Linked DNA regions of Neodiprion lecontei. The protein of the gene in region 1 purifies or fractionates together with the protein of each later gene. This does not show direct contact. Links are inferred from orthologs where the notes say so. Each region holds a gene or a part of one and is shown on either strand. Other genes may lie near its edges.

Region 1 (9,059 bases):
TAGTAGTGATGGTGGTACGAGAATCGAGATATTTAATTGATTTTCACAAGAAATATGCAATAATCTGTAACAAAGTTTCCGAGCATTCGAGCGTTCGATATTTATAATTTATCTTACTTTTATTAACGCAATCTGTTACTCAATTTTGCGTACAAGGTATCACGCAGCTAGGTAGGTACATATTTTATTTCATGGTAGGACATATCGATGGCGGATGCGGAGCTGCTCAACAGATGTTGGTGATATTTAAAATGATCGCACGGACTAATAGGTAAAAAATAATTAGAAAAGAAAAGAAAAACACACGATTCTGTCATCAAAAAATGCGTTTGTAATTTTTAGCTCTCTGTTCGCGGTACGTGTTTTTTCTCTAAATTATTTATTATTAAATTAAGTGGTTTATTCGAATTTTCATTGTATATATAAAAATAATGCCTATTGATTCAAATATCAAGATACACGGTCTCTTATGGGTTTTTTTCTTTTTCAATTGTCAATACTAGTAGAAACAAAAAATCAAAAAATAACAGAAATGGTATCAATTGCGTACACGAACGAGTATTATTCAGGGGCAAAAATGCTGAATTAACAAAGTGAAATCTCTCGAAGTGCGTAAAATAATTTAGAATTTTACAAATTGCTAATTATGAAAAAAGAAAGAAATACATTGTATGTACACGAGAAAATTTATCTGAAAGCGAAATTAAGTTCCAGAGTTGAAAATAAGAAATAATTTTTCTTCTATTTTTACTTTCCTCGCGTACGTCTTTGGGGAGAAAGTAAAAAATTATCAAAATGCGTCTCTAAGCATATTAATATTATGTATGTAGCAAAAGCGGGACTAACAGAAGGTAAAACGTCTCCTTGCAAAGAAAACGAAAAAAATTCATGTAGTAATATCAAAGAATTAATACACTTATCATTTTGCGGCGCCGTCATAACTGAGAGTTTGTAAAGTATTTTTTTTTTTCTTTTTTCTTTTTTCTTTTTCAAAGAGAGAGTTATAGACCCTAAGAATGTTATAAAATTTGTCTCACTAATATTTCAGCGATAATACAATATGACCATTTCTAATATGATTTATTAAATAAAATTTACTTTATTCGTCTTACCAAATATTTCGACCCTGAAATTGAGTTCACTCACTGTCATATCGTACCGTGAAATATTCGGTTAAAATGTGCATGTTTATCATCACGGTTATGCTTTTTTGAAAGCCACGACTCGATTCCTCCTCCCCTCTCCTTCCAAGCTCATCTCCCTCATTATTCCACTTTCTGTCGTATTTACTTAAATATAAAAATACATAGCCAGTCTATATATAAAATGTGCAAGGTGGCACATTGAACTGAATTATCACAAATCCTCTCGATGGTTAACTACCGCTGTCGGCGATTATTGATGATTCTGCTTCCCTACTTTCTGTTCCTTTTTTATACGAATTTCCAATCAAATTCTCACCGCCACTCGCTGTTGCAACACCAGCGACAGAGGAATTATTATCTAAATGTTGCAAACACGGAAATTCAGGCCCGGAGAGTAACAGTGTCGTTTGCGTTGGAAGATTTGTCAAGGATACCATTCCAGGATTCATCATTTGCTTGTTGAAACAACTTCTTAATGCCTCTTCGATTAGATTTCCTATCTTATCACGATCGTTCTGAAATAAATACGTACAATTGTACAAATTTTATTGCATTATATGAATTTCCTGCCAATATTTTGTAGGGACAGTACACCTTTCGTTGTTCCTACACCTTGTATACGATTTTTTTCTCTCTAGCTTTATCGGTCCGCACTTACCTCGTTGATAAACCCAAAATGTACGAGTTCTTGTGCGAGAAGCATCGACGTGTCGATTTGCGTTATAGGACATGTGAGTTGCCTGTTCATTTTATCATCCATTCGCAAAAGTATCGTCATCTGAAACGAATGAACAATAGTGTAACAACAGCTTTGAAAAATGAATATGAATCGAAGTAACAAATTTAACAAAGACTTACAAGAAGTTCACGGCTCTCTTCTCTAGGCTTCACGTTGCACATCATATTTACAACTCTCCGAGATTCAAAGTCAAGTGGTTCAGGTGTTACAGACTTGACAGATTCCGTTACTTCTGGGGATATGGCACGAGGTCGAACCGGAGGCGGTAACTTAGCCATAAATGCAGTTAACGGGTATATTCCATACCTGAATGTTAATCGAGAGGAGATGATTATTTTCGATATTCAGAACAGCACGAGTATTCAAAGTTGAATATTTTCATACCCTTAAACGAGATCAATTATTAGCAAGTATTAGATGCATCTACAAAGAAATTAAAAGGCGATATAATATTAGAAAGAAATTGGTAAGACAGCAGAAAAATTGCACATGTGCAGACTATCGATAGACATATAATACGGTAGGACAATCATTTTAAATGTGACTATATAGAGAGCGAGTCTAATCCAAAACTTACTTTACATCTTCGACGAATTTCTCTAATTTTTCAGCAACTTGAATATCACTTGAACGAATTTGGTACGGAGAACGATCTGCATAACGTACTTCAGCAACGACTGTGTCGGGTCCGTACAGCCTTTGTAGCACCTCATCTGTTATTGTCTCTGATATATTTGCTAAAAATGAAAGAAAATATCTGTTGTTGTATTTGGATAAAGACCAACAATACTAGACAAAGGCACGATATACTTACTGGCTGAATTAACCAAAGCGTGTGCCGCCAACAGCTTCAGGGTGTGAACCTCGAAAAGTAGAGGATGAAATAAAAGTTCTCTGGCGCTAGGCCGACAGATGGGATTTACTTGAAGACATTTATGAATGAAATCCTTCTGCTGGCTGTCATCTAACGATTCTATGGTTTTATTGATATTTTCGTCCGTAACTACGGTACCAGTATCGCCGTTTCCTTGAATTTCTAGCGCTGCCATTTCCAATGCACACATTCCAAAGGAATAAATATCAATAGCCGGAGTTAACGAGCCTAAGGATAAAACTAGAAAGAAAGAAAAATATATCATCAACAATTGGACAAGCATTTCCTCTCTTACGGGTCCAAAGTCTTTGGCTGATACTAAATGGAACTTACTTCCGTATTCTGGTGCAACAAAATGCATATTCTTCGTATTTGCCCTGCAGGTTTTTACGTGATGATGAATAGCATCAGGCGCCACTGTAATGTCAAAGAAATTCACTTTTAGTTTGCCAAAACATGGTTCAAAAATGTGAAAAAAAGTTGAAAAAAAAGTACAGGCAGTACAGAAGACTTTTCCCATGAAACATTGGAATAATATCTATTATATGGTGGGAAAATTTTTCCGTCTGTCACATATTTCAAGATTTTTATGTAATTACTGTAGTTTGTCAGTTGATCCTTTCATACCCACGAAATTTTTTTTTCATAGAAGTACTTAAAGAATCATTGATATAATCGATAATAAGATAATTACAAGTGTAAATTGAGCCCTCATTTCATTCGGTTCTGAAGTATATCCTGACACACAGATAACATGTTCTTCATTAATTTTTTCACGTCTATTCTCAGGACGAAATAGTGGTTCTTTTTTAAAAATAAGATTACACTTAGCATCGTAACTGAGTGTGAAAGAAGTACTTGAAAAGTATACTTTCTATAATTAATAAATTATGCATAATAATAATATTGTTTACCTCTGTGCCTAATTTACTTAGCTGGCGATAGGTGATAATCTGCCAAGTTGAGAAGTTTCACCACTTCGCCACCTGTGGCAAGTTATGAGGCCAATTGATAGGTTGTAGATGTCGAAAATTTAATTTCTCCGGTAGATACGGTGAAAGTACGTTTGTACCCTCGTCTCTCTTGTTGAAGGCATTGCTGTTTTTTTTTCATTATCTAGATTAGAGGCTATTTGCTACAATTAAAAATGAGGACTCAAGTTACTCCTAGTTCAAAAGGAACATTAGAATAACACAATCTTTTTGTCTAACTTCTGTGTACATCTAAATTTAGAATACGTTCTGTCCTATCTACTGCTAGCAAAAACCTTACATAGTTCCCATTTCGTTTACAATAGTATTTAGTAGTGACATCATTGGTATTCTCCAACTATGCAATTATAATTGTGGAGATTTCTAATTTCTCTACTCACGTTTCAATGTCATTGTTTCCTGTTTCGATTAAATATTATTTCATTTATCAGAACGGCTATGTGCTGATTGTAAAGAATCAGCTGAAAACAAGTTGCTTGCTTAAATAATCCGTTGATGATTTTTGCAAACGAGCAAAGCCATCAAGCACAATTAGACATCCATTAAAACTATGTGTATTCTGCGTATTAGCATTAAAGACAGAACAACCGGTCAGCAATAAGTACGTAACGTCATCCGCCTTATACGCTTTCAATATTACTGCTTACCTGAACCAATTTTAACTAGGCCATTGTGCTGAATAAAAATAGTATCACAGGTAAGATTTCCATGAATAATAGGAGGTGAGCAAGAATGCAGGTAACTGAAACAGGAATTTGATCATTGTATTACGAATTGGGACAGATTAAAGCAGGGGAAAATTTAAAAGATTGTCCTATTATTTAATAACTTCGTGACATACCTTAACGCTGAAAGAATTTGTGTACACCATCGTTTCCAAGCCTGCAGTGGTAATTTTTTAACGTTACGTTTCGTCCTTTTGAGGAACTGCTTCAACGATCCCGACGACATATATTCAGTTATGAATATTACCTAAAAAATAAAAAATGAGCTTTTTATCCGGCAGACATATAATTATTTTGTTCAAATAATAAACCAACGACTTACTCGTGGCTTGTCATTGTGAGTATCTGTCCAATATCTATGAAATTTCACTATATTGGGATGCTCTAGTTGAGTCAAATTTTCAAACACAAGTTGAATTTTCTCCTCTTGTGCTTTGAAATTCTTGCGCTCGGAAAACTGTACCTCGTTCCAAACAACCTCGACACCTTCCTCTGTGTCCATAGCAAGGTAGGCACAATCAATACCCGGCAAATCCCTCTTTTCAGCCTGAAAAAAATACCACTCGATTAGATTGGAAGAACACGAATCGATCATAAACCTTGGAACTGTCCCCGGACAATAACTATTAAACCTAAGAAACACAGAGTTATTATCTTAGCAAAGTGAGGTAAAATCTGGAGAAATTCTCACTTCCATATCGGGGTTTGAGAGATTCTTGTCGTTTTCCGTGGCGTTGCTCCGAGCTGATCCTGCAAAGGTGGACCCTTCGGCTAGAGCAGATTTAGTAGGTACGTAGACCTGTAAAGAAAAATCAACAGATGGATTCAGTGGGTCGAGTTGTTGTGGCATAAAGAATAAGACGAAAAGCAAGCCTAAATAAGATATATACGATCATTTTTGTCAACCACGTATGAGGTGAAAATGACGACTGGAATAAGTTACCTCTTCTCGCCTCTTGAGCCAGCGTCCGCAGGGACTTTCCTCGAGGATTTCACTCTCATCCTCAGAATCTTCGCCACTTTCCCGCGGTGACTTGTGCTCTGGGTCTGTGCTGGATCGACTCCCAGGCATTACATACAACAATTATGACGGCACGTTGAAAACTTGAAAGCTGCAGAACTGAGTCACTGAGTTAAATACCATAATAATATTATATTGATATTTAGAGTAACATTTGATCACTGCGAAAGAAGTATGTATTATTAATATGTTGATGGAGTAGAAAACGTCGTTGAAGGGAGGGGAAGTCGAGAGGGGGATTGAGGGAGGTTGAGTATAAAATTATTATCTTTTATTTAAATGTATTTATATATTGTATACGCCTCCTCCTCTACTAGAGTGACACATGCAGCACGACCGATCCCAATTTTAACGTATTATGTCTATTATTATTTACTGCACTACGCGATCCGGCAGCGACACAATTTATTCGCTGGTACTCGGCGAACCGTTTCCGGCACAATTCATAACCGAAATATCATCCATCGAGATCACTGGTTTCAAATTAAAACCCGTGTGACGTGAAAGGGAGAGAATTATTACCGTGTGACACACACTATACACTCCTCATTGCCATTGCGCTGTAATATCATCTCACTCTATCTTCGGTTACCAAAAGCTTAATACAAGTCTGAGCACGACAGTAACGCCGCGCCCACCGGCAGCGACTGCCTCTCGCGGGAAAATCGGGGAGTTTGAATACATTCATTCATTCCTTGTCTAACTCACGTCTAACTATTCGATTCATCTATCGCCTAATACTTTTACAGGGCCGAACATGCAACGATCGGTGCCCGAAAAATTTTTCTAAATTTCCAGGTACAACTTTTTTTAAACGTTTTAGATTTCTCCTTTTTCAGATTTTTTTTATCCTTTGTAATTGTTTTAGACGTTTGAGACGGATTAATCCAATGATGTCCAACATCGTCATGGACATTAATAAATACTAATAATACCAATACTTTCCAATGGTCATGCGTGTACGCGTAATTCAAGTCGATGAAAATTGTCGATATAAGAACGATGAGTATTTAAAATGTTTTCTCTTTTTTAAACCGTATATTCTGAATAAAAAAATAATCAACGTTTAGTATATACATCTTATATATGAGTAAACATTAATAACAATATCTTATTATACGTATAACAAGACGTTTACGAATGTACAATATACAGCATAGCTGTATTAGCTAGCAATAAGTTATTAAGGCACAGCACAGTGAGTGTGTGGGTGTACATTCTGGTAGTTATGTTAGTTCTGGAATTGATTGAAAGGTTACACAAACCTAGAACTTCTTTTCCTTCTTCTATAGTCTAGCGTTACACGTTATATAAGTTATGGGGATGGTTACCCCTCAGTCGCAACCTGAACACTTTGATCCGAGAGTTGCAAAGACCAGGTCCCAGGTTTTTTTTTTTATATCATAATAATACATCATAGTTTGTGACTCTTTACCTCACGGTAACTATAGAATAGTAAGTAATGAATCACTAGAAAAATTGGTCGCCTAAATAACTCTACAGGAAAAATAAAATACCGATTAAATTCGCATATTGCGCGAAATTCATTCGCTCGTAAATTGCTGACTGGATTTTTTTAAGTAATCAAGATATGTATAAATCTACTATAAAGAGTACTATTTGTTCTCAATTTGTGTTAAACTATTCAGTATCGTACCAAACTTTGGTAAAATAAGGAAAACAGTAGGTATGTTCAGTAATGATAAGTACGCGACGTGTCGGTGGATTGAAAATTGTATAGAAAATCAATAGACATTAAATGCGTGATACTATACCAGCCTTTCATAAGATAAGGCAAATGAATATACAGAATTCGAAATATTGTTACGATATGGCGCGTAGCAACGTGATTACAAAAAACTAAAACGGAAAGGTACAAATCAAGGATTTTCGGTGTTGTCCGTTTTAGTAGATGCAGATACGGTTGGTATCGGCTCTGTAGATCCTTGAAGTTTCTCAGCTGAAGCAGCGATCGATTTTTTCCGTCGATCCATAATCAGTTTCACGATCCAAAGGATAGTCAATGGAATTGGCGTCATTATCGCAACTGATACTGGAGCAACTGCAAAGTAAACGAAATTGTTGAAATAATTCTCCGAAATAGAGATGATAGCTTATACAAGAATAGGTATATTCTTACTGGTGGTCAAATCAGCAGCTGGTTGCGGCAACGAGAATCTGAGTAGAAATATCGAGATTCCGGTGTTTTGAACTCCGGTTTCGACGGAGATTGCCGTTATATCAGGGCCCGGTTGCCTCAGAACAAGAGCGAGCAAATACCCAAACAAATACCCCAGCCAGGGTAATCCAATACCGGCAACAATGATCTGAAAAGTAATTTGATCAGCATGTTGAGTAATTCTTGGGAAATTCTAAACCTAGGGTTAGAGTAATATGGCAATTATTTTTGACGGTGCTATTTGGAAGTAAAAATTGTGTAATTACCCTCCACGAAAACAGTTGAAAGAGATACAGATTGGTAATAATGGCGAATACGATGATAGCAATGATCAGCAGACTGCACAACGGCTTCAGTATTCTTACTAGTATCCTTGAGACCCTTGGCAGTTTTTTCTGAATCAGGAATCCGATACCCAATGGAATGACAAGACCAACTGCGAACATTGCTATCCTCGAGTACGGAACCCCGAGGTTTGCACTGTTGAAAATCGTACTCCCAAGGGTGAAGATCCACAGCGGCATCATGCCTACGAATCACACATGATTTGATTAATATTCTCCGAACGATTTTTGTAAAGATCATATCGCAGTACATACAAAAGCGAGTCGGAAAACTCACCAAACGCTGCCAATGTACTGATGGTGGTCATTGTTACAGATAAATTGAGATTGCCGCCCAAAATTACTGTCCAAATATTAGATGCACCTCCGGCAGGACTCACCCCGGCGAAAAACATCCCCAACCGCAGTTCAGGATCGTCTGGAAACAGGACTAATCCAATGCCGTAACTCAGCTGTGAATTGGTATAATACAGGTGATTATTACTGATACAGATAATGATATAGTTTACCCAAACTAACACATCGATCAGTGAATATAGTTATTTTACCAGCGGCATCCAGACAAACTGGCAAACGAACCCGATCGTCGGACCGATCGGTCGCTTCAAGGTACGTTTGCAGAGTGGCCAGTCCATGGCAGCGCCAAAGTTGATGTACATTATTGAGACCATGACGGCAACGAATACTGTGAAAAGTGTATCGATGATACGCTCTTCTCGAATAACGATCACCGACAGGGCGTCCGAGGTCTTGTTCTCCTAAAATCAATGTAAAAATTTAATTTCATGCAATTACATACTTTTCATTTAAATCATTTTCATTCCTTATTTGGTTTTCTACGTAAAGTATGATGTTTGAAGCCAGAAAATGCAATTTCTATTTTCCATATTATAGTTTTTCTAGTAATAACTGTATAAGATATGTATACATATATATATGTTTATACCTGGTCGGGAGATACGATGGACAGAAGGATGTCGGCATTGCCGAGAAAGTTACCGGACACGACAAGGTTGCTACTCCAAACCAAATCGTTCACC
Region 2 (8,665 bases), on another chromosome or scaffold:
GCTGTTGCTGTTGCTGTTGCTGTTGCTGTTTACCCGATTGCGTCGACTGAGTATTGCTGAGTTGTGACAATACCTCTGGCGTCGCGTGCGACTTCAGTATCGAATTCTCCGCCTCCAATTGATTTATCCGGTCCATCAATTCTGCAATCTTCTCCTTCAGCACCTCGACCTCCTCCCGCACCGCGAACATCAGGTGACTTTTTACCAAATCCTGTTCACGATAATCAAATTCCTCATTATTGTTATTATGTATTTACAAAGGCCATACGAGGATAAGCAGGTTAAAAATTACTATTGCGAATATCGTAATGATATTTTATGAATAAGTAGGTACTATTAAAATACCAGGATCCTGTATCAAACCTCAATCTCAATTTGCTGTTGAGGAAAAAAAAAAGCATATATTTATATATACATATCAGACCTTTCCTTATGGACAGTGAAATTGAATTTCGATGTTTGTACCCCTCAAATTGGTTCGAAATAATTTTGAAAAATATGTTGCAAATTTTTTTTCCCTTCGTATTTAACCACCTCTAGGAAGCCCTATTGTTGGTCCTAAAAAAAAAAATTGATTTTTCGAGGTTTTTAATCAAAAGTGCGTATCAGGTTCAAAGAAGATTGTAGATAATTTTGTAAAGAAGCAAAATGAAGAGGAATTTGTCCCCTTTAAAACCGCGTGTGGGAATTTCCTTTTTCTTATAAGAAGGAAGATGAGATGATTGAAATTTTTGAACATCTACTTATTATTTTCAGTGAAGAATTTCCTTTTACCTTAAGACTATTGAGTTCTTTGACCGCTCAAAAATTTGGATTCAATAGTCAAAATTTCTTGCCGCACTAAAAGTTAGATAGCGGAGTAAAAAATAAAGATAGCCATATTTCCCAAGCGGCGTCTTAAAGGGGCCAAATTCACAATCGTTTTACTTTTTTAACAAATTTTTAACGTTTTTTTGGACCCAGTACGCACTTGTGGTTAAAAACCTCAAAAAATGAATGCTTTTCTTACAAGAAAAAGTAAGGCTTTCTAAGGGTGGGTAAATATGATGCGGGGAAAAAAAAATATGTAACATTTTTTTTCAATTATATTTAAGGTGCGCAACCATCGAAATTCGATTAAAAATACATCCGAAATTAATAGCATATGCTGATGACACAGCTGTTGTGAGCAATGGTAAAACATGGGCAGAGCTGGAGGTTTATTCAAGTTAAAAGTTAGATTCAATTTGCGTCTGGTTATTCTGGAACAAATTAGTATTGAATATCAAAATGTCAGTATATATATAACATTTGGCAACTATTCTGACTCAATTTCCATGTCTATTGACATTTCTGTTAATGGATGCAGTTTAAGGAGAGTACCTGAATGGAAATATCTTGGAATAATTTTGGATCAAAATATTTCATGGAAGCAGCATATTAATAATATTATTAATAAAACTAAATACTTAGTGTTTGTGTTCTATCGATTGAAACAAGTCTTAACAAAAAAGGCAGGTAATTCAAATTTATTGTACGATGTTCCATAGTATTGCAGTGTACGGCATTATTGGATGGGGTAGTTTATATGATACTGCGTACCTTCCATTATTAACACTACAAAGTCGGTTACCCGAGATAATTGACATTCGAGTTAATGACCAGAATCGACCTATGGAAATCAGACAGGTTTACCTACTGGTCCATACTGTACCAATACACGGAACTGAGGAGGTTATTCACTGAGAATACGAATAATACTAGGTATCGTAGCATTTCATTAACGAAAGATTATCTTCATATTGGGCAAAGAAGCTACTTATATTATGCGGTAAAAAACTATTCAATGAACAACCAAATGATTTGAAAGTTATTGATAGAAGCAAAAAATTAATAATACAAAAAATTAAGGATAAAATATATCAACTTAAAATAGATTAAATAAAGAGTTAATGGTAATATTGGATTTTGTGAATATTAAGTATTTCATTATTGAGTAGAATTATTTAAACGTTAGATCTTGTTGTATAGTCTAATTTTATCATAAAGTTTGTTTAAGATAATTCTGGCAATAAATTATTATTATTATTATTATAAAATAATTTTTTCATCGGGATTAACCTGACAAATATGTTTGAAAATTGAAAATGTTATTGAAGAAACAAAGAGCTTGTACATACACAATGGAAACATTTTTAGCTTAATAAGCGCATCATAAAAAAAATTATTGTCTCCTTGATTTTTTATTTTCACTGTGACACTTTTCAAGTAAAATGATGAAACTGTTATTTTTTCATTCCTTATAGATTTTTCAATAAATCGTATCATTGTCTAAATTTGCATTACAGTATGCCACTGTTAAAATAAAAATACAACTATTTTAATTCCAGAAAAACTGAATTATGCAAACAAATTTTAGCTGTGTTATTGCAAATCGTACTTTTATACATACGTATATAAACAATATACTGAAATAATTTACTTACTCAATTAACTGAATTATTTAAGTACATTACTTATTTAAAAACAAGAACACAACTCGCAATAATACGGCTAAAACTTGTTTCATAATTCAGTTCTTGTGTGGAAAAAAAATGGTGTTTCTTTTGTTTTTTTAATTACGGCGTACCACTACCAAAATTTTGAAATAAATGTGACTCATTGAAGAATTCATGAGGAATGTAAAACTGGCGATTGGATAGCAAGTTCAGTTCCAGTTCATAGTTTTGCTCAAATAAAATCACAGTGAAAAAGAAAAGTTTAAGAGAAAATAATTTTTCTTATCATGAATTTATTAAGTTTAAAATCTACGTGTCTATAAAAGCTTTTGACTAACATATAAAGTTTCAAACAAATCGGTCAAGTCAATCTTAAGTAAAAAATTATTTAACATTTTTTTAGCTTTTTTTTCTTTCTCAAAAACTAATCGAGATTCAGATCTAATATTTTCAGGATCTTTGTATTTTAATAGTCCTTACGTATCCATAAGAAATTATTAAGATATTTGCAAAAGCCATTGTTACCCTGCTTATCCCCCTACCGTCTTTATGTTCGTAAAATTTCATAACTTCTTTTTCAGACACGAGGTTGAAATTAGAAACGTATTACTGATGTTGAGGGTGTTTCTTGTTTAGAAAAAAAAACACATTCATTCATAACTTTAAAATTGTTTGAAATCGGTGAAGCGTAATGTTTAATTAGCTTAATATACTTATATTTTGAAAACCCAATTAACTTCTTTGTGGTCATTCTAAAATTGCAACATAATGAATTTTTGCCTTCGCTGTTTCTTTAGATCAACTTTATTAACTTCAACTCGTTCTTAGACTCTAAAAAGTTCTTCGATTACTATAATTTTGTAGGGAACTAAAAGCCTGACTGAAAACCCACGAAGACTGAGAAGAATTCTTACCATAGCTTGTTCAATTTTGTTGTCAATGGCAACTGCACTGGTCCCGGACATACTGAAAATTAAAACGAACAAAGTAGTAGCAACGAAATCGACTGCGATATCAACAAAGGATTTTCATTCGAGATGTGAGCATTGAAAATACGGGAGAAGTACTTGTTTCATTTTAAAAAATTAGAAATTAGACAAAATTCCCACATTTTCCAAATTTTTACTACATACTCAAGGATAAAATTAGACCAACGTTATCATCGTCGTATCCGATTACTCATTGGCCAGTCTTCCTCACCTTTCATTGTCTTCGTGGGCGTGATGTTCGTCAGTGCTCTGGGTGACTTCAGCGAGGGATTCGAGCAGAGTCGCATCCGCGGATTGTGGAGGCACAACAGCAACAACAGGACCAGCAATACCAGCAGCAGGATCCTGTTCGTTGTCGGAATGGTGAAACGAGATGACATTCTGGCCCGACGACTGAGACTGCATCTGTGCCTGTGGCATAACGGGCGCAGTGGAAACATGGATATTTGGTGCAGCCTGTTGCTGCTGGATATTCTGCACACCCTGAATGCCTGCCATCGGTTCGGACAGTTGCTGCTGCTGGTGAGGCGGTGGAACTCCAGTGACCATGATGTTTGGCGTCTGAGCAGCTGGTGAAGACACAGCGGCCGGATGTCCTTGCACAACCGGTGTCTGGACAGTAGGCGTCTGGCATACGTTCTGCTGCGGCTGTGGAGCCTGTGCACTGACTGTAACGTAGTTTTCCTCCTTAGTAGGATGCTGCTGAAGGTTCTGCTGGTTCGTCGCTATCGCGACTCCGTTGCTGCTGTTGTTCCCAGTTTGCGCGATTAGCGGAATTGAGCCCTGCGGCATGCTCTGAGGCTGGCCAAGGTTCCCTGGGTGTGAGGCAGGTGCCAGATTCGATGGCAGAGTAGCGCCCTGCGCCGCACCTCCGCCGTGCTGATTCTGGTTCTGAGTTTGCTGCGACATTTGCTGCTGCTGTTGCTGAAAGTACTGTGGAGGAATCTGTTGCTGAGCAGAATTCGACTGCTGCTGTATTTGCGGTTGATTGGGTTGCTGCTGCTGAGAGAGCGATGTACTGTTTACAGGGTAGGTGGCACTCCCAACAATTTCCTGGTGCGATATTGGCCCATTGGAATCCACACTTTTCGTGCCCTCGGTGTCTGGCTGCTGCTGTTTCATGGCCTCGGGGACAACGATGCCACTATCGGTGACGCCGTACGATATGCAAACCTCATTCGGCCCTGACTGCTTGATGGAATTAATAGCCGTCGTCTGGTTGACGGATGTGTGGTCAAGGTAGTCCATGCAGGTCCATCGACCACGCTTGAACGGCTCTGTGCTTTCGATCTTAACAACTTTGAAACGTTCATTGCGCCCATGCGAGTGGACCTCGCGAATATCGGGATCTTGCTTCGCACCACCTGACAGAAGATTTATTATGTTTTTGTCCGTCACTGAGCCGATATCCAAGGCATTGATGTTGTTCTCGCTGGCTGAGTTGCTTGCTCCGCCACCCTCAGATGGAACAATGGCAAGGCCGTACTGAGAGCTTGTCGGAATGACAGGTGCAGTACCGAGGGCAGCATTGCTTGTGTTGAAAAAGACGTCTTCCTTAGAGAAGGTGTCCTCCGAGTAGCTCGGCGTCTCGATGTCGATGTCAGTCACTCTCGAGTGTTCCACAGAATTATCTTCCGTGTGTGACTCATCCAGATCGTCATTCGAATCCTCGCCAGCGTCGTTACTCATCCTACAGCCTACCGTCACGCTGGTTATCTGAAACGATGACGTCTTCTTTCTGCACTGACCGCCCGACGACGCCGATGAGGCAACATTGTTCTGGACAGGAGTCGACGTCGTCGGGGGTGGTGCCAACGGCTGGAGAAACTTATCAGGCTCACCGATCCTGATCGTCTCCGAGGTTGTGCGATGCACGACCGAAGAGGGCGATGAGGACAATTTTTTACTACTACTACTATTGCTAACGCTGTTGTTAACGCTGTCTGCCAAGTGTTTGCTGTGCGACTTTCTGTGCACATTATCTGCCATTATTATAGATTAGTTTGTTTATTAGAAACATTCGCATTCTACAATTCTCTCCGAGGAAGAGGAGGAGGCGGTGGAGGTCGAGGCTTTGGCATCGACTGTCGTGGCTAGACTTTTTCCCCAGTTGCATGTTAACACCATTGTGTTTCTTGCGTGTCTTGTTCGACTCTCGGCGCCGTCGACGACGACGACTCAAGTCCCGGTTTTTCACCCAGGAACTATTTTCTTCTATTTCTATTTTTCTCTTTCCCTCTCTGCCTCACTTATCGTCGAGAGTTGCGACCGAAACGGTCGTCGTCGGGTTTTCCTGCTCTCAAGTTGTTCAATGTACTTTTTTTTTCTTTCTTTTCCCTCTTACGCAGGGGTGGATGACGGGGGTGTATTTGTTCTATTTCTCCTTCTTTTGTTTGAAAAACTCGTATAATTGCACGAGTACGAATCGCCGACGGAACCGAGAAGAGACGTCACGACGAAGGGACGATCAGGATTATTATTGCGGATTTCGGAGGGTGTTTATTCTGCCCATTTTTTGCCACATGATTTATCGTCTAGCCACACACAGAAATACACAGCATATGCACGCCATACGATATAACACGACACAATCACTAACTGGCTGCGAGGGATGCTGGTGTTGACAGTTCTTGATCATCGCTAGTTCCCTGTTCCTGGTTTCCTCGACACGGTTTCTCTTTCACAGCCCCCGAAAAATCCGAGGGGCATCAGTTGATCGGCTAGATTACCGTCTCCGACGGGATTATCGCGACTTTGGTATTTGCATCGTCTTATTCCTCCTCTTCTTGTTTACTGCACTGCTGCTGCTGCTACTCTGCACACTAATCTATCTTCCTTTTGCTGTAGTTTCATTTACACAAACAGCCCCTCATGTACCCCGTAATTGTCAGATTTCACTCGTACCTGATGCTGTGTTTATTTTTTGACTTGTGGACTTGCGGTAGATCACCGCAAACCGCGCCGAGGTACTTGACTTTTTGCGAATTAGACAGGTTACATTTTACATGATTTTTCTTATTTTTTTTTTATTTTTTCGCTCTCTCTCTACGGGTAGAAAACAAATGCAGATGAATATATGAGTGTGTGTGTATGTGGGTATAGATATACGTATGTATATCTATATCTAGATGTCGTTAATGCGTGTTCTGCGTGATATCCTTCTTCTCTTCTCAATTCCCTTCGTCACCAACGTTCATCTCTGTTACTATATTATTTATACTGTTGGTTTATTATTTTTTTCTTCTATTTTTCCTTCTCTCGCTCCGCCTTTGCAGTGGCAGACAGGCAGCAGCAGTGAGCAACAGCGGTTTAAAAATGGCTGCCATTCACTCGGGCTCGCAATGAATCATATACTACATGAATGTACTTAGATCGTCTTCAAATACGGCCTTGAGGACCTAAGTTGCGCACTAAGACCGTGTTCGAAAATTGACTGACAGTACTGTCAGCAATCTTTCATCTCTTTTGTGCTGCCGAGTTCATGAACAGCTCTGTCTCTGTCCTAGGGAATTTTTAGTACTGGCAGTCAATTTACGAACACGGCCTAAATAAAAATTCCCCAGAGAACTAGTAGCGTTCTTCACTTACTACGGCCGTGTTCGTAAATTGACTGACAGTACTCAAAATTCCCCAGGACAGAGTCAGAGCTATTCACGAACTTGGAAGCGCAAAAGAGATGAAAGATTGCTGCCAGTACTGTCAGTCAATTTTCGAACACGGCTTACGTTACCCATGGTATTACACGGGTCTGTCTGGAAACTCCCTTAGAACATATAATACTGAAGGTGGAGCTACCCATGCCGTCGACTTCGCGAAAACTGTGGCCGTAGTCATGAGAGAGCGAGATATGTATCCCCGAGTTAACCTGGATACTCTGTCACTCTCACTCTGCATTTGATTGGCTGAGAGGGAACGCATCGGACAAGCAGGTTGTAGAGCGAGAGAGACAGGCTGTACATACATGGCATAAGTGCTCTATCTCACCCTCCGCCACAATTTCTGTATGGACCCACGGTAATTTCCGAAAGTAATGCATACTGATTTGGCAACGTTTAATGACAAACTATTTTCATATAACCAATACTTCATTTTTTTCAGTTGGTCGATAGCAAATTTTTTAAACTTATCGAATCTGTAGCACTGCAAGAAACTATATCATCAGCAATTCCAAAAGACTGTTTATGTACAGTAATATGCTCTAAGGTATAGTCCTTATTTAAGGTGTTGACGAATTATACCCGAGCCACCCCCCAAATCTACCCAAATGATTCAAAAAAAATGTCCTAATTTTTTTAGATTTTTATCACATCTCTAACTCGTGCCTGTAAGAGGGTGAATGCCTCCATTTAAAATACTCGTGTTTCGGCCACATTCTCAGTATGCAAGGGTGTGCAATTTGCCGAGATTGCCGGGTACGGTGATGTAAATTTCTTCACAGATAGTAGCACTAATGCCCATTGAAATCTCGCAGTTACAGGTTTTTTTTAACAATATTACTCTAACTATGTGTATTTTGAATCGGAAAATCCATCGTATTACCGGCACGGGTTAGAATTGAAATAAAAATCTAAAAAAATTAATAATAGATTTGGGGGGTAGCCTGAAAAAATTCAGCAACACCCTAAACTAGGACCACCCTGTTCCCTGTGGTACTCAAATATTTACATCTTTAGAGCTAAAAGCTTTTTAAGCTTTCTCGTAAATATTTTCTTTTTACTTGTCAGAATTAAAATTCATGTGATACTAAATTGAAAACTCCGCCTTTATATAATTACTTTTACCAGTTATGGTTTTTTTAATATTTGGTAGCAATATAACTCTGTTTCTCGTTCTACTACTTGACTTCAGAGATTCATTTTTCAGTGTAATTTTTATGTGTAGCAACTGAGATTTATTTTAGCTAGGTTCATCAGTAATTGAATGGGGCTAACGTACTAATGTTCATAGAAACAGAACGGTTTGAGAACGTGAGTATCTATAAATTTATAATTTATAATTGAGTGCACGCCGTAGGAGATCCTTCTTCTTTTTCTCCTGTACGACTATTCCTCCGAAGAGGATGTTCCAAAGGTAGACCTTTAGTAGAGACTGGACTCTGACACATGAAATCCTTTCATGGTGGTACTCGGTGACGAAGCGTCATAGACGTAACTAGACTAATCAGAGAACAACTTTAAACGGAAAGTCGGTTCCATCACA

The links. Proteins that work in one complex are often made in the same cells at the same time.
Region 2: the proteins of nuclear receptor-binding protein (region 1) and protein bunched, class 2/F/G isoform purify together in Homo sapiens (affinity purification with mass spectrometry; 5 studies listed by BioGRID and IntAct, with this or other methods). This does not show direct contact. The link is inferred for Neodiprion lecontei from reciprocal best matches to the Homo sapiens genes NRBP1 and TSC22D2.

The regions. Positions count from the first base shown.
Region 1 is NC_060263.1:2,486,122-2,495,180, forward strand, and holds the start of nuclear receptor-binding protein, read right to left. Parts: upstream 6,241-9,059; 5' UTR 5,548-6,240; coding exon 5,419-5,547; intron 5,275-5,418; coding exon 5,167-5,274; intron 5,023-5,166; coding exon 4,798-5,022; intron 4,723-4,797; coding exon 4,592-4,722; intron 4,493-4,591; coding exon 4,398-4,492; intron 3,176-4,397; coding exon 3,092-3,175; intron 2,999-3,091; coding exon 2,699-2,998; intron 2,622-2,698; coding exon 2,462-2,621; intron 2,191-2,461; coding exon 2,004-2,190; intron 1,924-2,003; coding exon 1,804-1,923; intron 1,661-1,803; coding exon 1,376-1,660; 3' UTR 1-1,375. Other genes in the region: kinase D-interacting substrate of 220 kDa B, read right to left, coding at 7,377-7,558, 7,637-7,823, 7,942-8,204, 8,297-8,471, 8,568-8,777, 8,966-9,059. UniProt on the Homo sapiens protein: Required for embryonic development. Plays a role in intestinal epithelial cell fate and proliferation, thereby involved in the architectural development of the intestine potentially via the regulation of Wnt-responsive genes.
Region 2 is NC_060264.1:22,930,351-22,939,015, forward strand, and holds the start of protein bunched, class 2/F/G isoform, read right to left. Parts: upstream 6,795-8,665; 5' UTR 5,456-6,794; coding exon 3,678-5,455; intron 3,444-3,677; coding exon 3,392-3,443; intron 212-3,391; coding exon 1-211. UniProt on the Homo sapiens protein: Reduces the level of nuclear PKM isoform M2 which results in repression of cyclin CCND1 transcription and reduced cell growth.